3 linked regions of the Drosophila melanogaster genome follow. The protein of the gene in region 2 interacts with the protein of the main gene of each other region in a pairwise test. Each region holds a gene or a part of one and is shown on either strand. Other genes may lie near its edges.

Region 1 (8,833 bases), on a different chromosome or scaffold from region 2:
GGCGTGGCCAAAATACCGATAGAAGTTGGGCAGAGTGCGGATGACAGTTTGTGGTCGTTAGATGGGCGTGGCAAAATAAATGTTTGAGAACCCGATAGACAAGACAAATAAAAAAAATCAAAACATTTTCAACTTTCAATTTCAACTTTCTAGCTTTTATAGTTCCTAACGCATACAGCCAGGCTAGAGATCCTGATTGAGATTCTGTATTGTTTATATGGTTGGTAGCGAGTACCAATATATTGTTTCACCCAACGAGTAACCGGTATAAAAACTATGGCGGTCACTGTTATCGGTCCCGTTATGCTAACTTTTCGCCCATGATCAATCTAATTGGTAATGTCTTCCCCTAATAAAATATCTGCCTTTCACATTCAGCCTTATGAACTAGCATTGCTAAAGGCATTACGTAAAAGGCTTGTCCATGTCGTTGAAAAGGGTATCACTTCGTTTTATAGTTTTGGCTTTATATTTGAGTACACTCGCACGAAAACGTGTTGTACTGTTTAAGAAAGCGAGTGACGATCGGCAACTAGATTGAAACTGCGTGTAAGACGAAGAAGCAAAATACAGCGAAGTGGTTTGGTTTGGTCCCTTACGTTTCCCCGCATCGATGAGATATCAGCAATGCATCATTTTGCGTTGGGCGAAGCCTCAGATGCAGTCACAGTACCGCATCTGCAATGGTCACAGAGTCGTTGACTTGAACTCTTTCTGTTTTTCTTGTTATCTTTGTTTTTTAATTTTTTTTTTTTTTTTTTTTTTTTGATGCGAAGCGCGGTGATGTTTGTTTTTCATTTATTTTACTCTTAAGGCCTTGAGCAAGAAGAGAAAATTGTACAAGCATACATATGTACGTTTGTTACAAAAGAAAATAAAAAAAATCAACTGGCCAAGCTGAAGTGAAGTGCCTCGACTATCCGATATTCCATACAGAACGAGAGCAATGGAAAACTGTCTATATTTGCCCGGCTAGTATTACAAAAAGTGTATAAAACGCTTAATTGTGCCTGTTCTCAACGAACGTAATAGACTCGTTTTCTTTAAAAGCAACAGCTAATGTTTTTACGCGTTTCGCGAATATAAAACAAAAATATAAACTTCGACTATACATTTGACAATCTAAAAGTTTTGATCAAATTGTATTGTTTCAAAGAAACTCACTCTGCGGCGATGTTATTGCACTCGAGAATACGAAAACAGACGCATCGTCTGTTGATTAAAATCAGAGTGGGTGGGGGAGTGTAAATCATATAGGACAAACAAAACAACTTTTGTATGCAATTGTCGTATTGACTTGATTCTCCTCACTCAAAGATTTTACCGTTGACATCATCTGGTCAAGTAAAAAATGTAACTCCGATATTCTTGACCATCAGATGCTCAGTAAATTCAAATCTATTACCTAGTAAGTGATAATACCTTAGGAATATTATTTGTCAATAAAGTTTTTCAAAGCCTTTGCAATCCCAGAAATTTTTTTTGTTCACAAACGGCTTCGAAAATGTAGAAGTGGTAGAGCGGCTATTTTAGACACCAGCCTTTTCTGCATATTTCTGATGAGAAGCTCTTTTATTTGTATTGCATTTTGTTAGTGGTTGTACATTAAACTCCACTTTATTTAATAAAAATATAATATAGGTTATAATATATGTATATGTGTAACAATAATTTCAATCATGAAATAACCCACGCGGAAGCCTTTCCTGTGTGTCTGTCTCATAGTGTGCGATACTCATCTATGTATTTTGTAACCAATTATAACCGAAGAAACGAAATTTAAACATTTTTTGAAATTTGTTACGTTACCACATGCAATTTAAAATTTTTAATTTTGTATTTCCACAAATTTAAGACCAGCGCTTAAAGTCTAAATCATATCAATCATATGGACAGATGGACGGACATTTCCAGATCAACACTGCTTGTCTTGATAAATTTATATGTTTATTATACTATACGATTAACGTATATACTTGTAACCACCCCTATGTGTAATATGGAGTATGTTTAAGGTAAGGTACAAATAGTTTATTAGATTAATACATTTCTGAATTGTTTTTTGTTTAACAATAATATTTAAACAACTAAAGCTGGACGGGCTGTTGTGGTTTAGTTACTAGCTTGCCAAAAGGCTACCTTCGCATCGTCGATCCGCAGATATTTCCTGTTTTATTTTTATTGATTTCTTGGATACGCATTCACCTGTTGATATTTCGACTCGGTTGCTTTTTTTTTTGTACATTGCCGTAAAAAACAACAGCATTAGCGTCAACTATACAACTAGTTTTCATGCAGCATTCCCGCCAACTGTCGTCTTATGTCCTCCCGGCGGATCGACGCTATTTGCAGCATGGCTATGTGGATTCGGGCTTTATCTATATAACCCAAAACATGTTTTTCACTGCAGTTTGCAAGATCTAGACGCTTGCGTAAAAGCATGTTTGCAGGGATGGAAATTAGTTGTAAGCTTTTATGAACCTACTTTTCAAATTAGATCCTATGGAAACGCAGAGTTATGTTGTTAAAGAAACAACATTATTTGAAACACTTTTCAACATTTAAATATGCACTCACTTAATAGGTAGTTAAACTTTAACAAGATCTATTAAAGAGACGAATAGTTATTTTCTATTTTTAATAACTTTCTAATTAAATTATGCACTTAGCAGATATAAAATATTTTCCTAGTATACTTTGTCCCAAATACGATGATCAATTGCGTAATATTTAATCCAATTATTATGAAAGGATGCCTATACGAGCGAAACTGACTCCAAGTGTATTTCAAGCTTCGGTCCCGAAAGCAAACTATTTTCTTGCTTAGTTCGTTGTTGCTAATTTTTCTGTGGGCCAGTTTTGCCAGATCTCTCAGGCAGAACTGGATAAACAACCTGTCATGTTGCCCCCGTACGTACTCCTCAAGTTAAAGTTAATGATCGTGCGTGCAAATGGGTAAGCGCTGTGGATCTTTTAAAAGTGCATGAAGTATTTCTGCTCAAAAATAACTATTCCATATACCTCCGCAATTGATAACAAGTATACTATTGTAAAGTGTAAGCTACAAACCGTACAAAGCTCAAGAAGACATCATTAAGGAATTGAACGATATATTCGATGCTTCACCATCTCCTAAACCATCATTCATTTATCTGAACTCTCAGAAAAAGATGTTACAGTTCTATAATCATCGTTGCGCTTCTTACAATAGATTGGGATAGATTTGCCCGAACCACAGCATTAAAGGTGATGCCTAAAAGACGGTGGTGCTTTAATCATTGTTTTGCATTTGATTGTCTATTTGATGTAACCGAGGAGCCTGCTAAAAACGATGCGCAACACGGCCTTTTGTTCTTATGGGCTCCAGAATTTATGGCGATCCAGAGTGACACCACGGGACAACGAGTAAACAATTCCAGTAGACAGTCGGAAAGCGGCAACAAAAGCAATAGCTCGACAAGTACAATTGTGTAAGATGTTCAATGCCCATATCATTAGTGCCAAATGAAAACTAGATATCGCGATCGAATTCGAGCGAATCAAAATCAAACTGGAGTCTTACTTTAAAGAACATAAATGTAGAATTCCAATTATTAGTATGTACAGGATTTGGAAATCCGCAATAAAATACATTAATATATCTACGACTTCGTTTCTGTCCCCATTCGGCCACGGATACACAAGCACATGCGACCTCAAAAACCAGTCCACTCTGAGCCATTTCGTATACGATCTCCAACTTCTTCGAGCCAGCTACTCATGAAGCATTCCTTCCATCCTCCAACCCATCTGCGACCAGCCCGAATTTCGATTCCAGTTCCGATCGTTGCCTCAGACCTCCCTCCCCTTCCCGAAAGATATTCTCGCGTGGCAATGCACCTGTCGCGACCAATGCTTGTTTAGAGCAGCAACCGGCATAACAAACCGCGATGATTCGGGAAAACTGACCGAACCGCGGGCCTAAGATCTCAGCTTTTGGAAGAACAATGCCAAAAGTTGTGGTAGGGGAAATCTTTTACGACTGTCGTATGGGGAATTTGAATAGTGTCATTGCGGGGAAGCATAGTATACTCACCTTTTCTTACGGAACCCGGTTGATATTATATATATTTTAGTTGTACTCATTTGACTAGGTGCATCAAGGATTGTATTATCGGCCGTGGGCAAGTTATAGATATTTATAGGACAAATATATATAAATGTGATGCGTATATTTATGTATATTATCTTATGGCACTTTGAAAATTCACTTTATTTTTCTGCTTCACATTTACAGCGCCCGATTATTTTCCGTTTGTTTGCCTAACGACACGTCGATAAACGTTTTGATACTTTGGATCATGGCACATATTCGGGAATTTCTGGGCCGTACAAAAACTGCCTAGTCGCTCTCACCCCTCGAGCTATAAGCTTAAAGATATACATTTTCCCATTTGGTTTGGATTTCCAGACAACCCATTGCTAGTTCCTAATACGCGTTTTGTGTAAAGACACTACTTGTGTTCATCTTCGTATCTAATCAAAATTCCGTTGGCTCTACCAATGATGCATCGCGTTAGTCCCCTCGCTCACGGAGCTTGCAAGAGTAATTTTTGATTCGCACAAAAACCGTTTTGCACTGTTCAGCGTGTTTGAGCTTAATTGATGTTTCTTGGCGTTGACTTTGGTCCGTGCTAGGGAAAATGTGAACTACATGGAACGGTATACTGCGAAAATATAAAATACACATACATCGCTCTGAGTCATCACTAGGCTCAGTGGACATTTGTAGTGAAATGATTTGTAGCTAACACTTAACACAAATGCACAACACAGAGTACACGGCAGATGCAGATGCACGTGCACCGCATTCACATGCAAAGTGTGTTGGGTCCTATAGTGGTGTGAGTGCACGATCTTAAGGCAGAACACCCTGAGAATCCATTGTGTACAACTTGTGTGTGCAACCAAATCTTTGCAATCGGTGCATTGCAGGCTTTGAGTCAAAAGTCATTCTGTTCCGACTCAAAGTCGTGTGGTCTTATGCAGCATAGGTTAGCCCGCGCACGTGGAATGTTACCACCACTGTGTAGCGATGTTCACTGGTCACTGATTCCAATTCCACTTCCATTGCTGTTGCCTGTTAACTGCATGTTAATCATATGTTAAGTTTTTACATTAAGAGAAATTTTTTGGACATGTTTGGTTTCTCTTTCTGAACGGAATTTTCTCTTTTTTTGCAGAGAAGCAAATAATGTTAAAGAGGCGTGGTTATTCAATTTGAAATTTGGTTTTGTGACTTGTTATCCAATCGCGGCTCTGCGTTCTGTCTGAAGTTTGGTATTCTTGCGCACGTCCAGTTATACAGCAGATACTTTGCAAATTTTACGCTTCGTTCTCCGTCTCCATATATTTTTGAATTGCAATTCCACGACTGTTTTCGTTGAGATATCGTAACGCAGGTTGAGATCGCTAACAAGATTTACTTTAAGTGTATAAAATACTTACTATACGATCAAGCGGAAACGTAATGATTATATGATTATATTGGAATATATATGATTTTGTCATAATCCGCATTTTGGGTATGTCCAAAATATTTTTGGTATATCAATAAAAATTGTACAGACAAATCAAATGGAAAAATATTAATAAATATTAATATTAATAAAATTTCGGACGGTTAGAGTGGCCATGACAATATTTTGAGATCTGCTTGTATTAAACTCAGCCCTGCATTCCGATTACAATCAAATCGATTATTCATTTATTGAATTTTTGAAAATTGGTAGGTGTGATCGCTTAATTCGATAGATGTCTCGGATTGGTTTAACACTGTGCTATGTTCAGTAATTTAGGATTTGGTAAAAAACGTATAAGTTCGTCTTACAGTAAATAACTATTTTAAAGAGTTTTTAGGAAGCTCTTTTTGATTTATAATAAGAAGTGGAAGATTAAAAAACATGTTATAATACATAAAAAATTTCCTGACGTCTTTATGTTCATTTGAGTATTTTAAAATAAAAATGTTTATAGCGGTATTCTTATAAGGCATTTAATTTATTATTGTATTGTACCCTTAAACATTTAAAACTTTGTCCTTGAACTACAAAAAAACACAATAACGTTTTAAACGGAGAATACTAATAATAATAATTTTTGTAGCACAGGCCCATTGTATAAATTTCGTCTTATATATATGAACCAAAACTTTTGCTTCCAACGTCGCAGTTTGAACTTTTGTTACCATCCCTATTATACATGTATATTTTATTCAAATCAAGTACTCAGTTTTCGATAAAGTTGAAACTCGGCGTGCGAGGGTTGTCCTTGAACCAAACCAATAATGTTTTAAAAAGAAGCAGAGGCAACACCCAATGTATAAATTTCGTCTTGTATATATACACAAGATGTTTTACATATTATTATATAAAAACCACAAGACATAATAGTAGCTAATAGTCCTGAGCTTACACCATGCGCTACTCAAGCCTGTTGGAATGCCTCTCCTCGGGATTTCTAACGCTGTACAGGTCAACATATGTAAGTTATTAGTAGAGATACTTTCTCAGAAATCGCCGGTATTTTTTCAGTTTTTCCAAAAATGCTATCCTGATTTGCGAGGACGATTGGCGTTGCCATCCCAAAATTTACGAACCGCTGCAATCAGAAATGAGAATGGCAGCCCTTTACTAGTGTAGAAAGCAGGTTGGCAGCGCATATAAACTGGTGAATTTACTTTAGGTATAGATAATTACCAACAGATGGCACTTTTGCTACTGCAATTATGACGGACACTAGAATATTATTCTAGTGTCTTTGGTGAAACAGTATTATTCTTGTCTCTTTGTTAAAACGGTATACTAGATTTGCTGAAAAAGAATATAACAGGTAGAGCCCTAAAAAGGATATATTTATAATCAGGATAAATAGCCGAGTTGAACTGGGCATATCCTAAAAGCGAGAAAGAATTTCTTTCCTGGTGTTGCCACGCCCAATATAACGTTGAAAACCTTGACTTTGAAAATTGTGCTGATATTTTAATTTTCATTAGTCTTCTAAATTTATATCCACTTGCAAAAAAACTAATTGCCACGCTCACACTTTTGAAATATAATTTCATAATTTTTTCGTTATATTATGTGCATTAGCATTTCAACCAAGTCCATTCAGCATCCACAAGCCGCTCAAACTGTCATTTTATACATTTTGGGTTTTTTAGATGAATTATTTTTATGCCAATTTCTGTCGATGTCCAAAAATGTTGAAATGTTATGTTTATCAAACCCACTAGCTGAGTAACGGGTATTTGATGGTCTAGGATCTCGACTATATCGTTATCCCTTATACTCGTAGAGTACGACTAAGAAGGAAGCGTTTCCAACCATATTGTTGACCCATGTTGCCACCCCCACTCTAACGCCCACAAACCGCCGAAAACGGTCACGCCCACACACTTTTAAACGATTTCAAATTTGTTTCTCATTTTATTCTCCTTAGTAGCCCAAAGTATCTGAGACCCATGCATTTTTGATAATTGTTATTTATTAATAAACAGAAAGATATAATTAAAATAAAGTCTTGAGTACTCATTTTTCTTGGTCAGACCCGGCATTTTGTGTGCTAAAGATTTGTAATGACTAGAACTGGAACCGTGCTGAAAATGTAACCTTTTTAATATCAAGATGACAGAAATTTGAATTGTTTTGTTCACTAAATTTATTTTGAAATCTATGAAGTTTAACAATATTTTAACATTTGTTATGCACGTTTAAATATTAGTCTACATTGAAAGAACTCTATTTAATAAATATAAATTTATGGTATGAAATTTTGTGGGTGGGTGGTCAGTTTTTAATATTGTTTGTTATATAACTTTAGACAATTAGTTCTTTTATTGTAGTTTCTTGCCAATGAAATTATCTTTTACTTTTGCGAGAGAATTTCTATTTTTGGAGGCGGCGTAATAGAGGAAGTGCGCGAAGTATTTGATGCATCTATACTTGCTCGTCGTGCAGCTGCGGCAATATACGACCCGTAGTACCTACTAAGCATGTGTTGATCAACCTGGTTCAGTTCAAGATACGCATCTGAAATGGGAACTGACAGGGTTGATGTTTTCGCAGTAGCCATTGACGATATGAGTGCAGTTTGGGGCGCGACAATGCACTCTTGTATAGGACATTCCTCAAGTGAGCTTGACTCCTCGTGTTGGCTACTACTGCTACCCAAGGACCTGGCTGCGGAGCTGGCAATTGAAAAGTTGTGCTGTTCAAGGTCTTCTGGATCGTGGTCGGGGTCATGATCGGGATCGGCATCAAATGAAGATAGCCTGCCATCGATTAGGTACGAGTTATTGTCCTCAATGGAAAATATTTGCTTCAAAGTGCCCCTTGTTTTTTTCCTGTCTTCCCCATCCGTATAAGAATCAGTATCAGGAATAATGCTATCGTCTACCACGTCGACATTAACTTCTACATCAATATCAGCGTCTATGTCTGCATCTTGCACAGGTTTTTCTAATCCCAACACAACTTCGCGGTGTATTGTTTGCTTGGTAATGACAGTATGATGAGTTTGAGTTGTTGTCCTCGCCGAAGTGGTTGGCGTAACTGACGACTCCTGGTCTTCAGAGACAATATCAACGATTTGGACATCGGGTGCCAGTAGCGAAGCCACGTCAAACTGGCGCTTCCGCGTCTGCGAAAACATATTCGCGATTGTTGTTGTCGTGGTGGAGTTGATATAGGCAAAGTGCTGATGATGGGAATGTGGCTGCTGGAGCTGAGTTGGTTGGATTGTCTGATCTAGGTTATTCGCCTCTTGTCGTTGCATTAACAAGGCTGGATCTGGT
Region 2 (8,689 bases):
GGTTGCGCGATGAGCCACAGAGACAGCTGTCAATATTTGTGAGCGGCACGAACGACAACCATTCCGAAAACCATTCCGCCCGTTTTAGCTCGATTGGATTATTGGGCATTTGGCATTGTTGTCCTGCGAGTTTCCCTGCCTGTGTGTGTGCGTATCGGTGTGTGTGTGTGTGTGTGTGTGTGTATGTGGGCGCGTCCTTATCGCTAAGCAAACAGTGCAACATTTTGTCGCCATCGCATTTATTTTTCTTGTCCTCCGCCTGGCGTTGCGCTACAGAGGATTCCCTATTCCCTATTCCCGATTCCCGAATCCCAATTCCGATTCAGTTTTGTAAATTCTGGACCACCCGCGCAATCAGCGACGGCTGCACTCCAAGCAAACATACAGCCACTTTTCCATCCAGACTCTTTTTGTTTTCGCATTTAATTTTGTTGCTTTTCACACCGAATGGAGACTCCGGATGGCATCGAATGGCAGTTTTGCTGTCAACCGCCCAGCCGACTGTATTTGCTGCCAAAAGTGCTGAATTTGCATACCAAACTCGTTCCCCTACCGATCAGCCAAATATTCAGATTGAAAATATTGAGCTTTTGGATACGAATAGCCTAGTTTATTGAGATAGGAGATGCCCCTTTTTGGCTGCCAGTATTTGGGGATATGTGAACATTCTAATCCATTCCAATAATTAAATGTAAATAATAATATTAATGATCAAGAATTTAAACATTTTTCGGTACGCTACAAATCCTTTTCTTTCATCTCTTAAATGTAGTTTGCTTTTAATGGTGGTTCCAACTATAAATATTTTTTGTTACATTTTCCAGTTTGAATTGGCAGATACAACCAATATCGCTGCCCATTTGATTTTGAAAATTTCAACCATCTGACCAAAAATCAAGCCCTTCATGCTCAGTGGAGTCTTCCATTCGAAGATTACTTTCAGGCCTACTACAGTCTTTGGCACACTTTTGGCTGGCACTCGAGCGCCATTCACATGCCACCCAGCCAGGTATTCCATTGTTGGGGCTACGAACAGCTAGCCAAACCTATTGACTGACTGGCGTTCGAGCGGTGTCCGCCATTGAAAGCAGCCGTCCCAGCTGCGAAGCACCTGAGCGGAGATTGGGCCACAAATCGAGAGCCATACAGATACACACATGACCAGATTTCTTCCCCGAGTGCGATCTCAATGCCGCGGTGGCGCCAAGCGGCGCTCACTCAAGTGACAATGTCGTCGAGCAGCCTTTATTGGAATAAATCCAAAGCCGAGTTCCGAGACGAGACCATGACCAGCTGCCCATCGTCATCGCCAAGTTAACAGCGTATTTTGGCCATCAATCAGTGGCGCTTCATCTGCCGATCTTTGGCGTTGGTTGGGTAACTGGTTACTTCGCTGGCTAATAAGCTCAACATACTGATTTATTCGCACTCACTCACGCTGCGCAGGCTGGTGTTTTACTTTCTACCAATTTGTGGCAATTGTCTGGCAATTAGGAGCAGCTACAGTGTTCCCTGTGGGGGCACAGTTTTCTTAACTAAAGATTTGTAATTTGTTGGCCATTGTTGGACGGCAACCTTAGAGAAAGCTAACATTTTCGTTTATAAATGACACTTTTAGGGGGGAATAATAATATAATTCTTCTGGATACAATACGATCTTGTCAGTTGCCATAAAGTGGCTTAAAGGATCCTCAATTTCAAGTTTTTAAGCAGAAAGAAGCTCAGACTACACAATCTAACAGTGAATATAATATTATAAATACTAAAGTTACCCTTTTTTGTAAATACCTTTCGATAGCTAGTCGTGCATATGAAGCATACAATTTCCTGGAAATTTTCATTTATTATTCCAAAAGGTCGAATGCATAATTATTTCCACTGAAAGGGGGGAAGTGTTTTCTATCCGATCGCTTGACAAACGACATATGTCCACGTTTGCAAGTCCATCGGAACTGCAGCCAACTGATCGAGTGAGTCCAAATGATATGATACGGCTACCCAGAAAGCCATCTTCCAGTGACAATTGGCCAGTTGAGTCATGCATTCGGGGCTCGAAACGGACACGCCTTGAATAATTATTTATCTAGGAATTCTGCGTGCGGGCTATCCAGTTTCGGGGTAAAAAGTCTGTTTTGCCAGCCAAATGCTCAATGGCCAGATGGAATAGCGAAAGTCGCTCCGAATATGAAGGGGCCAAATAAAACACACGATTTGAGATATTTTAACATATTTTCAATACACTTTTTGTTCGGCTCATATTGGTGGTACGCTAGTTTTGATAGTTATGTTATAGCTACGATTTAGTTGTATAATTTATTATTGCTTACGTGGGCTAGGCTAGTGTACTAGGCGATGATAGATCGATCCGATGCGGTAGTTTTAGTTATTGACAAAATGCTCTAATTTAAGTTTATGTTCTGTGTAGCAAAACCCCATCACAAATTGCGTAGCAGACAATTGGGACTATGCCTAAATTCGATAACAATTACGAGCTACAATTACAAATACAGTTAATACAATACAATACGTTAATGCGGTTGCTTAACAGCTATGTCCCCCATTATTTCGTATACGGATAAATCGAAAACAAGTTGGAAACAAAAAGATCTGAGATAGCAGACTCTGGACCCCGAGGGATCACCACCCCCAGGCTGTGTAGACTCGTTCTTGGGTATATTATATGGTGTATGTATTTACAGGAATATACAAGAGAGCCCAGCCCAGTCGCCGAGAATCCAGCCCACAGGCTTACACCCCGTACTTGATGCCGTACTCCTGGTAGTGGCCCACATGCGGTCGGTAGTGGCTCAGATTGCTCAGCTGACCCAGCTGGCCCAGGTTCCCGCTAAGCGCCGCATGGTGATGATGGTGGTGGTGGTGGCTACTGATCACCGCCGCCGCTGCTGCCGCTGATGCCGCTGCCACGGATGCGGAGGCAGGTGGACTGGCGGATTGTAGGCTGCCGGTGGGACTACCGGTGTCCAGTTGGCAGGATTGGTTCTGCTCGAAGATCATGTCGCGGAAACCCAGTGCCGATGTGGGACTGCTGGTCAGCACGCTGGAGGATCCTCCACCGCCACCGCCGCCGCCTCCGCCACCGTTGCCCACTCCATTGTGGTTGAGTACGCTGCTGCTGTTGTTGTTATTATGTCCCGGGTGGGTGGGTGTGCCCTGCTGCCCATTGTGAGGAACGGGTTCCGATGGTGGCGTTTCCGGGGTATACCAACCCCCGTGCGCGGGACCATGCGGAGTTGAGATCGTGGTGGGCGAGTGTCCGGACGATTGGCCTCCCGCTCCTTGGCCGCCGGGGGTCAGAGGATGGGCCACGTGCGCCACATGACGCTGCAGTTGCTGGGCATGATGGGCCGCCGCAGCGTGGTGGACATGATGCATCTGACTGCTGGCCACCGTGGCCAAGTTGTCCTCGTTCAAGTGGTAGGGATAGGCGCTGTGATGGATCCGCGGGTTGTACACATTCATGAGTGAGTCCACGGTGAAGCCGGGATGCTCCACTCCGCCGCCAGCCAAGTGGTTCATTTGGGCCAAGCTGTCGTGGCAGGAGTTGAGCATTGCGGCATGGGAGACCTCCTTGCCACTTAGACAACCCAAGTCCATTAGGGGCTCCTTTTTGAAGTGGGCAGCATGGGCGGCCATGTGCTTGGCCTCCAGTATGCCGTTGGTCATCAGCTTGAGGGGCTTCATCTCGGCCAGCTTCTCGTTCATCATGGCCTGCCGCTTGATGGCCTCCTCCTTCTCCCGCATCACATCCTTCTTCTTGAAGCGGCGACGCCGGCGAAGGAAGGAGCCGTTGTCGAACATGTTGTAGGAGTCCGGATCCAGAGTCCAGTAGGAGCCCTTGCCGGGCTTCTTGTCATCGCGGGCCACCTTCACGAAGCACTCGTTGAGGCTAAGATTGTGCCGAATGGAGTTCTGCCAGCCCTGCTTGTTGTCGCGATAGTAGGGAAATCGCTCCATGATGTACTGATAGATCCCGTTCAGGGTCACCTTCTTGTCCGCCGCATTCTGGATGGCCATGGCTATCAGGGCGATGTACGAGTAAGGTGGCTTTACAATCTCCTTGTTCTGGTGCGGGGCACCCAGGCCGTAGGCGCTGGCCGAGTACGGATAGCGGGAGTACTGGTCGTATGCGTAATGTGCCGCTGCTGCAGCGGAGGCGCTGCTGGCCGCCGCCACCGCGGATGCGGATCCGTAACCGGCTGCGGTCTGGGCATAGTGGCGCGTAAAGGAGTTCTGGTCGCTGAATAACGTATGCATGGCGGCGATTCCGGCGGATTTCTGATCGATTTTCCACTGCCGCCTTCTGGTATTTTCGTACTCTCTTGCTTTTGTCTTGCTTTCTTTCTCGAACTTAATCACTTCACCACTGGCTGCTTCTTATTATTTCTAGCGATAATATTTGCTTAAACAAGTCGCTCACATAAGTGCAGATATATAAATCTATATATATATATATATATATATGCATCTATTTGTAGTACAGGGGAAATGGGAGCGCAGAGCGAGCGCAGAACCGTTCGGTATAGTAACACGTCTGATACTGAATCTGTGTAACTGAAATAACACACAGCTCGCATCGAGCAGAAGCGTTTGCGTCGGCAGAGCGTCGCCCGCACCAGAAAGTATCTCGATCCGCTGCCGCACAGTATCTGTGTGTACCCGCACAATGTATCCGTATCTGCATGTGTATCTGCAGCCAACCAACGATGGCTGCCACTCGCAGTCAGTAAGTGAAGTGGGCCCGCAAACACAGCTGCGTCGAAAGTATCTGTGTGTGGCCAAGAGAAAGAGAGAGAGAGAGAGAGAGAGAGAGAGAGAGCGGACGCCATTCATGCTTTCTTTTTTGTATAGGAAAAAATAGTTAGCTAGCTACGGTGTGTGTCCTGTGGGCACTCCTCCCCTACCCGTCGCTTTTCCAAGCCCTTGTTTTTGTTGTTTAAACTAATGCTTAAAATACGGCCTATCGCCCTCTCTCTCTCTCCCTCTCTCTCTCTCACTTCCGCTCTCGCTCGCTCCCTCTATCTCGCATTCATGATATACTAGATACAATGGTAGTAAGAGCGAGCGAGAACCACATCAACTATGAGAGGCACCTGGGAAAGCCAACAGCACAGGCACAAGTGGGTGGAGGTGGTGGTGAACCAGGGGCTGCAAACGAGCCAACCACCCACTTAACTCACCCTTCCAATGACTTCGGCATAAATTAGTGATAAAGTTCTTTCGATCTCAGCTTAAAGTTGTTCGTCTTCTCGGGAGAGGCAGAGACCAAAAAGTTGCCTGCTAATTTGCAGTTTGATGGGTTTTCGCCAAGATGTTCAAGTTAAGGGCCACGTTTGAAGGTTGTTTTCGTTGAGGGCAAGGCATTAAGTTTTTAGCAACTCCCTTTTTCGGGCGCTTGAATTGACAATGGTTTTTTTGGTGTGCAAAGGGCAGGAATTTTTCAGGCTTATTTAAGGTAAGAATTTCAAGAATACTCAGGATATTAGACAAACATGTTTTCCACAGTTTTTCAAGAACTATTGTATCACCCTATATATAGGATCCTTATATAATAAAGATTCATTAAATTGTTGTTCATGTTAAAATGTCCTAAAAAAGAAAACCGAAATTTTTCTAATATCTAAAATGTATCTAATATCAAAAAGAATGAATATATATATGTAGAAAACTTTTCCCTTCTGCAATATTATTATGAAGCGAGTTATTTATTTAAAAATTGCTCTATTGGCGTGATTAGTTTAAATCAGAGATAATAATAATTGAACAGTTAATACAAGTAGAGTTTTGTACCATAAATTTATAACATATTAAAATTGCACTTGTTTTTATGTTATCTCCTATCCGCCTTTTGACTTGATACTCATTCACTCCACATTTCCAAACATCGAAAGGGTTACTAACCAATTTACAAGCCAAATAACGATAGAGTCAAACATAAAAAGTCCTTCGGCCTCGTCCTTCCCTCTCGCGACTCCTCTGCTCGTTGAGTCCTGCAGTGTCGTTTTTTTCGCAGACTTCATTTCTATTTTCTGCTTATTAAAACAATATTTTTTATTGACTTTGTCAGCTTTAAAGTAAATTTCATATGTTTATTTGGGCAAGGGCAAGTGTGCGTGTGGATGTGAGTGTGTGTACGCGAGAGGCCGAATGGGATGGGCTGGGTGTTTGTCTGGTTATTAGACACAGGGAAAACAAACACGCACATATTTATATTTGGATAATTTAAAAGTATGCTGACTATTTTTTATTTGTACTTTCCGTGGCTGTCTGCAAAAACCGAGCGCTTTGCATCACTTTAAAACCCCAATCGTCTGGGTAATTGATACAAGAATAATATTTGGCTCTATTAACGCAATCGCATTATTTTGACAAATATTTTTATTGTTTTAACATAATTTTTCGCATGCGATCTGTCGGAGAGGATGAGGCTATGAATCATCGTCATGTGTGTGTCCAGTTGGCCACATATCCTTTGCAGGATGCGAAAGGATGAGAGTCCTGCATTTGAAATTCGAATGAGGCGACTCCGCCGCCGTATGCTCCATTTTACGCACTTTATTTGGCTTCCTTCTGGTTTCGTTCCATATTTTTTTCATTTTTTCCTCTCGAGTTTCAGGATTGCTGCTGCTGATTTAACAAATTTCGTCTTCGACATCGGCGCCGTGATTGCGATTGTATGGGTTTCGCTGTGGGTGTGAGCAGTTTTTTGTGAGTAACTGTCTACTGGCTACGTCTGTGCATTTAGCGCAGTTCATGTTATTCTTACGTAGTTGCCATTGCCTGTCTGTCCGATTCCCCCATCCCCCATCCTGCACAGCTACAGCTGTCCGTATCCGTACTGCTCTGCCACTCCATCGTATCTGTATCTGTATCTATATCTGCAGCCATCCCACTGCATTTGACCTATCTAAATATTGATTTAGTTTCCCAAAACTGCAACTTAACATTTTCTCCGCGAATGCAGTGAAAGCTGAAAGCTGCTTTTATCTCGAATGTAAAAGTTGTTTACTAGAAAATAATGCAGTTTTGTGAAAAATGGTCGTTATTACGTGATATATTCCTAACATATCTTATAGATATAGAATGACCTTGGTCTTGTCCCTTTCAATAATTAAAAACGCGAATCTGCATAGCCCTATGAAAAATACTATCTTTCGTTAATCGATTATGACTCCGAAATATGCCTTAATTACCCAATTAAAATGATCATTAAACACAAATCGCAGTTCTATCAACTTTAGGCCTTGATGGGCGCCTATTTGACAAGCACAAAATTTGTCAATTTGGCAAGCACATTTGCCGTACTGAAATGACAACCCCCCCATAATTTTGGCAAGTGGAAAGCGAGTTTTGGTAGATGTGTCTCGCCCATTTGCCACGCTCAATTTGCTGCAGTCAACGGAACGTTGACACCGCTGTTGACAAGGAGAAGCATTTGCAGAATGAGGAGCAGCCGGCGAAGAAACGAGTGCCAACATGTGGCCGTTCAGTGCCCATTATTAAATTTTAGCAATGCCCTTTTTGGGCAGAACTCTTTCTTCTCTTTTTTTCGGGTGAGTAATCCAAGAATAATATTGATTTTAAAGTGCAGGGGAGTGCAACTAATCAGACACTTGAACCAAGGACTTAAGCAGCCAAAAAAAAATACAATTTTTTTTCGTTGGGAAGGACAGGAAAGGAAATGCAGGAAAAATGCTGATAAAGCGGTTTCGATCTTTGAAATAAGCGTCACTCACACGCACGCAGAGAGTAAAGTAACGCACACAGATACACGTCGACACACAGATACACGCATACGAACGCACGCTCCGCTGCTCTCTCTCATGAATATGCAACAATTTCTCTTTCTCTCTGCCAATATGAGACAGGCGGCACACAAATACACTCGCAAAAACGACTGCGCAGAATTGAGAAGGGGGCGTGGCCAGCTGTGGAAAGGGATGCAGCGATGGCGTTGCCTACAGTTCGCTCTCTCCCTCGCACACTGCAGTTTCCGGTGGCCACAAAACTTGTAGATACTTCAACCCGCACCCCCTCGACTTGTTTTGCGTTTTGGTTTTTTTGGGGTGGTTCCAGAGTTATGGTTCGGAGTCTATATTGGCCACTCATTAAAATTTATGATTCGTACACAGTTGCGGGCTTATTATGCATATATTCTCCAATTTTTTTTCCGCGACTGCTCTCTTTGGCCAGACAATTTAGCAGATTAGTTGCAGACAAACACACGCGCGTTCCCAGGAAGGGGCTGGGAAATATCCGCCATTAGCTTAATCATAAGCGTAATCATGGCGAAAATCTTCCGGTCATAAGCAGCGGAAATTCAGCAGACGGCGCTAAGTCTGGACTCTGGACTCCGGAATCTGGAGTCGAGTATTCGGAGTCCGGGTCCGGGTCCGGGTCCGGATCCGGATTCCTACCTGGCCAACACCGGATGCCAAATGCTAATCATGGATGCTTAGGCATTGATCGTTCCAAAGAGGGGAAACTTTTTAGGCATGTTTAGACTTTAATGCGCGCCGCGGGAATTCTTAATGAAACCTCAAGTTCTCGCTGGGTTTTCCCCCAGATGCTTCAGATTTTGAGGTCTCGATACTCGGACTCAAACTACCTGGACTCGACTCATAGCCGCTCAATGTGTCCGGTTTTCCCCTGCCGATTTCGTAATGATGAT
Region 3 (8,648 bases), on a different chromosome or scaffold from region 2:
CACATCGAGGCAAAGAGAAAGGCTGGCAAAGGTCAAATGGTCAAACAGTTGGTGGTGGTTGGCTGGTCGGGCGATCGCTCGATCGGTCAAGTGGCTAAAACCAACACGAACTTACCCCCACCAAATGTGCAGCCACTTGTTGTGGGTCAGGTTCCTAGGTTCCTGGGCGTCGGATATAGAGCGGTGATCGCAGCGGAATCAGCATGAGCCTAATGGGCCCACAACCGATCTGCTGATGATCACACGGCGATACTCATCAGGCTTTCACGTATGAATGGCTCCGCCTGATGAGCATTAGGCAATGACTAACGTTTTGTCTCCCCCTTTTGTTCGAGCTTGTCTGCGAGATTGCCGGATAATCTCGGCCCCCGATCCACGGGCGGTGGGAGTGGGGAAGCCGTAGGAGATCTGAGGAATTCAGTGTTTTGTCTTCTTGATGGGAGGAGTGTGATCATAGGTTGATATAAATGCTGATAGAAATCTTTAACATACATCTCTGTATCGTTTCCGACGAGCTGCGGTCTTACCTATCGACTGGATTTTGTTTGCTCACCATTTGTTGCTCATCAAGAATATTTCTTTTACGATCCGATAAAATACCATAGATTAGAACCGAGGTATTTGTTATTGTTATTAATTTTGGTCAATATTAATTTTGGTTCCCTATTATCTAGAGTTTTATTGCTCATGGTTATGAGAATCATTGAATTTTACATTCCTCGTTAGAAATCGAAGTTTTAGGTAGATTAAGTTTTGCACTACATTTCCGTACTATAATAATAATACAAGGAGTGGAGTGCAAGATCCCCATAATTGAAATATGTTTTCTGTTTTCATCTTTTACTCAACCCACCATCGGCAATTCCCGGGAACATCATCTTTTCATCACTTTAGGCCCAAAAAGAGTCGAACTTCATTAGAGAAGAAATGCAAATTGGTCTTGTACCTCATTTTTCTAGACATTCAGCGTTCTCTAACTGGAGATGACCTGATTTTGTTTTCAAGTGATCAACTTGTGGCGGTCATTCCATTGATTAATTGTTTTCGGCCCAGTCGGCATGCGAGTTCAGGTTGAGTCAACTTAGATAGCGTATAATTAGCAACTTACCGCGCGGCGAACGTAAGCTCAGATCAACTGGTTCAACCTGAACCGGAGGGCCCTCTGCCTGTGGATCGGAAAGAAATTAAAGATTATCGACAGCGTCATCAATATTGTTTATCGCCGGGCGGCGGGGGAGATTCAGTATAGTATAGCCCATTATGTATGCAGTCGAACAATAGAGTCATAAGCTCTGCTCGGGCCAATCAAGTGCTAATCAAGTTTGACAAAATGTTGTTGATGGGCGAAAGTGTTGGATGGTCGAGAACATGGAGTTAACTGGGGGGGTTTTTAGGGAAATGTGCGGAGCGGACTGGAGTGGAGTGTGCGTGCTTGGGAGCTGTTTGCTTATTGAATTCATCTAGCTGGAACCACCGCAAATGACTTCCGTCGATATCTGGCTTACTCCATATGGGAGATCGGGCCAGATAAGTGGGAAGAAACCGAAAAACCGCAATTGTTGCGCATTTCATGTGCTTACGAAATCTTTAGCCAATAAACTAACGGCAATAAAAACCGAAAAAAAAAAAAAAATGTTAAAAGCGGCGAAAAATAACAAAGAAACAGTTATGAGCTGCCCGCAGCGCTATAAAATGGATAAATTTTAATTTGGCACTGCATATGCATTTTTTGCGGGGGATGGGGTGTCAGAGCCAACACTTTGCAGTATTATTTAAATGAGGCTTACTCTATTACAATATTTAAAGGGTGTTTTCGACCATGACTAATCACTTGGCGTAGTTATTAAGCTTAGGCCCACTCTTTGCCTATTTTAATAATGGCTAAATCTGCTCAAAGGGCAACCTTTCCAATAATGCTATACAAGTTGTCACAACCTCAGTTCTCAGTTATCCTTTTGACCAGTCAACGTGGTTAACCCAACTTGCAGGGTAGCCAAGCAGCCTGATGCCAACAACATGGTCGCGAACAACGCCGGCAACACCAACAACCAGCGGGGACAACCGACAACCAGGACGGCGAACAACCAAGTCAGCATCCATGGATGCAGAGTGCAGAGTGTGTGCCCAGTGGGCAACAACGACAATTGTCAGGCTTGTAGCGCAAATTATGAAAAAATGTCAGTGGCGAGTGGGCGAAAAGAAGCTCGAGTGGCCAAGAGGGGTCGGGTTGGGGGAGCACCCAGAACTTGGCCACGCGATGTGAGCAGTTGTTTACCGCTGTCGCCGCTTACTGCCATGCAGTTATTTAAACAAACAAATGCTCATTGCCAGCATTAGGTTAGATAGTTTGTCTTCGATTGTGTCGAATGGCAGCCGAGGGGCATTTTTGGGTTTCTTTCCAGTCCGCTTTATGGCCCGCAACATTGACAACAACAACTTCATTGGCCGGCAGCGGAGATCGATATCTGGATCTCGATCCAGATCCAGATCGAGATCGGAATCGAGATCGAATTCGAGATGGAAGATGGAAGATGGAAGACGGGAGATGGGAGATGGGAGACGGCGATCGACGCTGGAGATTGCAATTGATATGCGACTGATGTTGGCCCCTGTCCAAAGGTATTTATATTTATATTTCTTGGCCCCCATTCACTTTACCCTCTAATTGCCCGCGCTGATTTATTGTTATATAGATTCCGATTCCGATTCCGATGCCGATCCACCCGTCTTGCCCCAAACTCGCTGCTTTATGATATTGTTATGGGGCGCTGCAGCCTCCGATCTGCTAATTTGTGTTGGGACGTGCTGAAATTTCTCATAGGCGCCGCAATTGATAGAACGATCGGGAATGGCCGGGACATTAGTTGGCTCCGATTTCCCCCACCGTCGCGTGGATCCAATGGAACTCAATTTTATGGATTGTCTTACGCTTGGTATGTGGTATTCTGCTCCCCGTTTTCCGCTGACGGCTTTTGCTTTGAGGCGACTGATGGGACGGACTGGGATGGGATGGGTTTTATGGGGCAACCAAACGAATTGGCCCACTGGGAATTCCTACGCAATTGCCATTTCGAATGGCCGAAGTGTATCGCTAACATGAAAATATTTCACTCTTCTTGCTCTTAATTGATGAACGCTTTTTTTCGGTGGTAATTGTGGCTCATGAAACCGATGGGCCCTAATGAGCTGTACTTGACTGATATTGAAGACAAATTGCAGGCAATAACAATTAGTTAGGTGCGGAAAAGATTGCGTCGAAATAACATGGTTGCAGTCGCAATTAAACTGCAGAAAAGCTTTAATTTTAAGGTACTAAGATACTATAGAATGAGTTCCTATTAAGATTTTACTAAGCTTCATTTGACTATGGGATATATACATACATATACATACATACATACATATATGTATGTATATAGAACTATATTCTGAACCTCTGCTGGTCGCCCGGATCTTATCTCCACCGCCATAGTTAATCTGGGAACTCACCTCCTTTGCTGACAGAGGGTCGGATCCAAGTCCATTCTGCAAAGAGAAGCAGAAACAGGGAATTAAGAGTCGTACAATGCCCCTCTTTGCGTCGAAATGCAACAGGTTGGTGTTGGCCAGGGCTCCCCTGCAATCCCGGTTGACCCCTTCGTGACCCCCTAACCCGCAAGTCGCCAAAACAAACTATCGGCTGACAGGGTCGCAGAGGTGGCCGAGAAAGGGGAGCACATGGCATATGGCGTTGGCGTTCGCATCGGTGTACTTACCATGAAAACCATTAAATTGTAAAACGTCTTACAAAATAATAATTGCCCGGCAACGTTCTGGCCACGTTACAAAAGACAGGCAGCAGCAAGGGTTTCTGTTTTCTGTTACCGGGCTTGGCGGGGAGGGGGTGGTGGGAAGGTGGAGGCGGATGCCTGAAATAATCGCTGTTTTGGTTTTGGCCGTTGCTTTTGCTTTTGGCCTGGCTTTTGTCGCAGCAGCTGTTGCCCGTGCTCTTTTCTGCCTGCAACTGCCGCATGCTATTTCGCATCCGCGGAATCAATGACAAAACGAGTGCAACGCACCTTGAGTTTTTGTTTTCTACCCTTTTTTTTTAACCTTCTGCGCTTCTTTGTATTATTTAGTTTTATTTTTATCTTTTTTTTTTATTTGCAACTTGTTTATGCGTTTCGGTGGCGGGGGGCTACCCTTTGCGGGGAAGGGGGCCACCGTAGCAGAAGCATAAGCCGCATTTTGTGGGGTAACGAATGCAGCGCGCGCAGTGCGTGACGAAATTACTTAGTTGCTTAGCTACTTAAGCAAATATGTGATGAGCCGCCTAAGCATGACTAAAAAAAAAATAAAAATTAAACTGAGCACCGAAAACCAACAGATTTTTCCAATTGAACGAGGCAGGGTGATAACTGAAATTGGCAATTACTAGTGGCCCTGCATCCGGTTTTATCTATAGTCTGCGGCTCACTTATTAGCACTTATTGCCGACGCTTCCTGGGCGGGGGTGTTACACTTGTTGTTGGGGGCTTGCATTTCCGGTTGGGCAGTCAATTGCAGTTCCCGGTCCCGCGGGCGCTATAAAACTCGCACTTAATTCGATCAACTGAGGCACATGCTACGGACACAACGCCCCACCAAACGGCGTGTGTTGGTTGTGTTGTGTTTGCTATTATTTATTCCTCTGGATTCTTGGTTTCATTCGTTGTTGTTGCTGCTGCTGCTGCTGCTGCCGCTGCTGTTGTTGTATTTATCGAGCGAGCGTGAGTGTGCAAATTACAGCACATCCGTCATTTTAATTTCACTTAAAACGCCATTTAAAGCGTCGCACCAACACAAACACTAAGTTGCAGCACGCAGTGCAAGCACGCACGCATGCGCAGAAACGCCGGTTGGAAAAGCGCAGCGAAACGAAACGGAATGGAACGCGTAGTGAATATGTCAGCTAATATTTTATAATCATATCATAATCGTGTACTCTTTATTCTTGTTATTGTTCCAATTCAACTGAGCATGGATGTGAGTAAAAAAAGCAAGGAAAAAAGAAGCGTTTCCCGCACGTAGCAGCACGTTTGAACGCGGCGCGGAGCAAACTTGCTCTGAGCTCTTCGAATTTTAACCGCCAACTTTGGCTCCCCGAGCGTGGTGAGCTTTGCCGCTCGCTACTCACCACACCTCCGCACACGCATTTGACATTCGCGCGCGCGTGTGCTAGTGTGTGTGCACCACTTTGTTTGTTTGTTTAGTTAAGGTGGAGCTAGGCTAAAATGACAAGTTGGCGCTTATGTTATTGGGTGGCCAACACTCGCGCGTCTGTGTGTGTGAGAGCCCCCACCCATGTTCGCCAGCGTGTGTGTGTGTGTGAGCGCTTTTGCCACTCGTGTAGGTGTGTGTGTTTGTGCTGGCTGTTAATTAACATGCAGCACACACACGCAGACAGAAGCTTGACAAGCTCAAAGTGTAGGTGTTTGGCGCCAGCGATTTCATTGGCTGACGGCCCCTTGAACGCGGGGTGGGGGTGGCGCAGGTGGGGCAGGTGGGTCATATGTGTGCGGTGAGTGGGAGCAATTAACACAAGCGCAAGATACTTTTTGGAGCACTTGCTGACAGCAGCCGCGGCTTCCATCAAGCGACTTATTCCTAATCGCAGAGGCTGCATCGCACACGATTTTTGCCAGCTCAGCACAGTCGAAATTCGCTAAATCTAGTTAGTATGCGCTAATCAACCTTACTGTTTGCATCCACCATATAGGATACAGTTTAATAAATATTTATCTACATATAACCATTTTCAAGAACAATTTATAATTTTAAAGAAGAACAGAGGTTAATGCCATCTGCAATTTAAAGAAATTAAAAATGATTTCATGATTTCAGTAAAGGCATTTGTGCTTGTTAACTGAGTTTTGGGTAATAAATTGGACAATAAATTTTAAATCAAATCTTATTTTATCTAAGCACAACTCAAAAGTGTTTTAACAAGAAGAATTTTCATAAAGATTAATTTATCATTTATACTGAGATCTAAATTTACTCACAAATTTATAGACTCCATGAAAAAGAGCTCATTTTCAGATGCAGAAATTTCTATCCGATGTAGGGTATTTCCACTGTAAGATCAAAAGCTGTGGGAGTTTGCCCGCCGACCGCTCACCGCCCCGTTTGATCCCAGCACCCAACCCGTTAGACGTCGCCAGACTACCTGATCCACTTTTCCACGCGCTTTGACGACCATTTTTGGTAACAATAAATCGTGATACATCATCAAAAGTCAATTCGAATATGTAGACAACGCTGCGCGCTTGGCAGGCAAAAAATATTTTAATTTTAATTGATTGTCGAGCGAGATTTACGTGCACCAAAAGTTTCTTCTCACGCTCCGCAAACACTGCCACACACATGGTTTTTGCGATGGCAGGATTAGAGCATTGTCAAAATGGAAAGTTGGTGCGCTTGGAAATCGTTTGGCAATCGCACCACGCAGAGCCGCAAAAAACGACAAGAGATGAAAAACAGAAGCAGCATCCGTGAAAAAAAGTAATACGCAAAATACCTTTTCCAGCTTCTCTCTCATTTGGTTTTTTTTTCGTTTGATTTGGGCTCGTAAACGGAATTGAAATCAATAAACTACGTGACTGCAGCGTGTCCAATTTGAACATTAAGATCATTTTGAATGGTTGTATGTACAGCATTGCTACACTCACTTTGGCGCCATCTGCCAGGGAAAATAAAGGCAAGATATGTTTATTAAAATTATTTGTATTTTTAGTGAAACAAGAAATACATGTCCTCAAGTTATCCTAAGTTATATTCACGCGAGCTACTTCACATATGTATGTCTAATTTAAAGGCATGATCTAAAATTGCATTTAAAACACATATTTCAATGCATACTTTCAGGCGCGCATTGAGATTGATTATCTTAAAATATATTTATACACTTTATCCAAAAAGTTGGCAACATTTATTTTGTCTTTTTGACCAATAAGAACACAAAATTCGCTCTTACTTTAAAAATAATCTCATCGTTAAGTATATTTCTGCATTAATTACCGACCAATAGTTTAAGCTTATATTACTTTGTGTTTTATAACAATAATAATAAATGTGCTGAGGGCAGTAAATCATATTGCTCATCATGTCCAAGCTCCTAAGTCCAGGTAGTTTTGGGACAGGGCAAAACCCTGTTGGTGGTTTTTCTAAGGGGACCATTTCGAGTCCTGGGTTTTGCTATTACCTAAGCCGGCGATCGGCGATCTGCGATCGGAGATCTTCGATCGTGGTTTTTTCCAGCGGAAGTTCGCGCTCTGCATTAATCGGGTATTTTTGGTGGCCCCGGCAGGCAAACAGATAATTATATCCGGAAATTTGACTTTTCGCTCGTATTTTTCTGGATTTTCGGAGCTCCGAGCCGCATTCGCCTGCGATTTTCTCGGTACGTGTGTGTGGGAATTCACTAATTAGGCATAATGAAACCTTTTCGTGGAGTTCCCCTCGGTTAGGGTTGTGGATTTGCACGCTTTACGATGGTTGGCAACTAACTGATGATTATTTAATAGCGGAATGATTTCGATGGGCGAGCGTCTAAACATTTCGGCTTGTTTCCTGGGAAATTCCTGCGATCCCAAAGTATATACAAATGGAAAATCCTCGCACAGCAAAGTTGATTGGGTAAATATGCAATCAGATAGATATAACTTATAATCGATTTATATATACTTACATCTAAATGAATTTGATACCCGATTTATGTGGATTTTCGTGTTTTTGATCAGGGGAGATTCATTGCGTCTTATTTTTTTTTTTACAAAAAGAATATAACTTATTTCCATATCATTTCAAGTTTTTAAGTTAAATTCTTGTCTAAACCTAAACTAACGCTGCAAACAACAACATTCAATGAAGTTTACTAAATGTTCAATTGGGAATTGCAAAACAAAATCTTTTCTACCAGAATGCAATTTTCAGGAAATGCTTTTATGTAATAAACATAATTTATCATTACTCTGAATGCACTTTTTCAAAACTTAGAAACTCTGTCCTATGAATTCCCGTCGATCCAAAGATATTCTCAATCCCCTTTTTGAATCAACAAGTAAAATATTTCAAAAATTGCCGACAATTCCCCTCGTATTCCCCGTCCCGCATCCCAACACGCATACTTCCCAGGCATTTTCCCAAATCGAGAGAAAACCCAAAGAATAACCCAAGAGAAACAGAAAAATCCAGAGCGTCGAGTCAAGGCTCTCTTCAATTTAGCTTTGAATTTGCTGTATTTTCGTTTTGCAGCCGCCGCTGCCGCTCGAGAAAATCGAAATCCCCCGCCGCCTGACGTCATACCTGCCGATGCCGCAGCTTCCGCCATTGAGTGGGAGCGGGATGGCAAGACAAGCGAGCGAGCGGGACGACGATAGAGCGGCGGCAGCGAATGGCCGTCGAGCAGCCGCAAAATGTCAATTTGAGCAATGGCCGGAAGGATCCTGCGTCAGTTGCGTTCCGTAAGTGCGTGCGAGCAGATCGATCCAGCAAAACGCGGGCGTGAAGAATATCTACGGAGTTATACAGTTCCGAAATAAGAATATATTGTTAGATACCACAAATTCTAACTGAAGAAGTGCGCTAAAAAGCCAAGCAAGATCACCAAATGATGAGCGCTCGCTCGG

Evidence for each region.
Region 1: the proteins of croc (region 2) and Sox102F interact in a two-hybrid assay, tested with the Drosophila melanogaster proteins (one large-scale study listed by BioGRID).
Region 3: the proteins of croc (region 2) and CG42741 interact in a two-hybrid assay, tested with the Drosophila melanogaster proteins (one large-scale study listed by BioGRID).

The regions. Positions count from the first base shown.
Region 1 is NC_004353.4:829,304-838,136, forward strand, and holds the start of Sox102F (Sox102F), read right to left. Parts: upstream 5,091-8,833; 5' UTR 4,076-5,090; intron 1-4,075. Other genes in the region: fd102C (forkhead domain 102C), read right to left, coding at 7,906-8,833.
Region 2 is NT_037436.4:21,471,920-21,480,608, forward strand, and holds croc (crocodile), read right to left. Parts: upstream 4,561-8,689; 5' UTR 4,276-4,560; coding exon 2,749-4,275; 3' UTR 2,214-2,748; downstream 1-2,213. UniProt on the Drosophila melanogaster protein: Required for the establishment of head structures.
Region 3 is NT_033778.4:23,037,854-23,046,501, forward strand, and holds the start of CG42741 (uncharacterized protein), read right to left. Parts: upstream 5,091-8,648; 5' UTR 3,768-5,090; coding exon 3,756-3,767; intron 3,526-3,755; coding exon 3,490-3,525; intron 1,167-3,489; coding exon 1,109-1,166; intron 1-1,108. Other genes in the region: twi (twist), read left to right, coding at 8,630-8,648.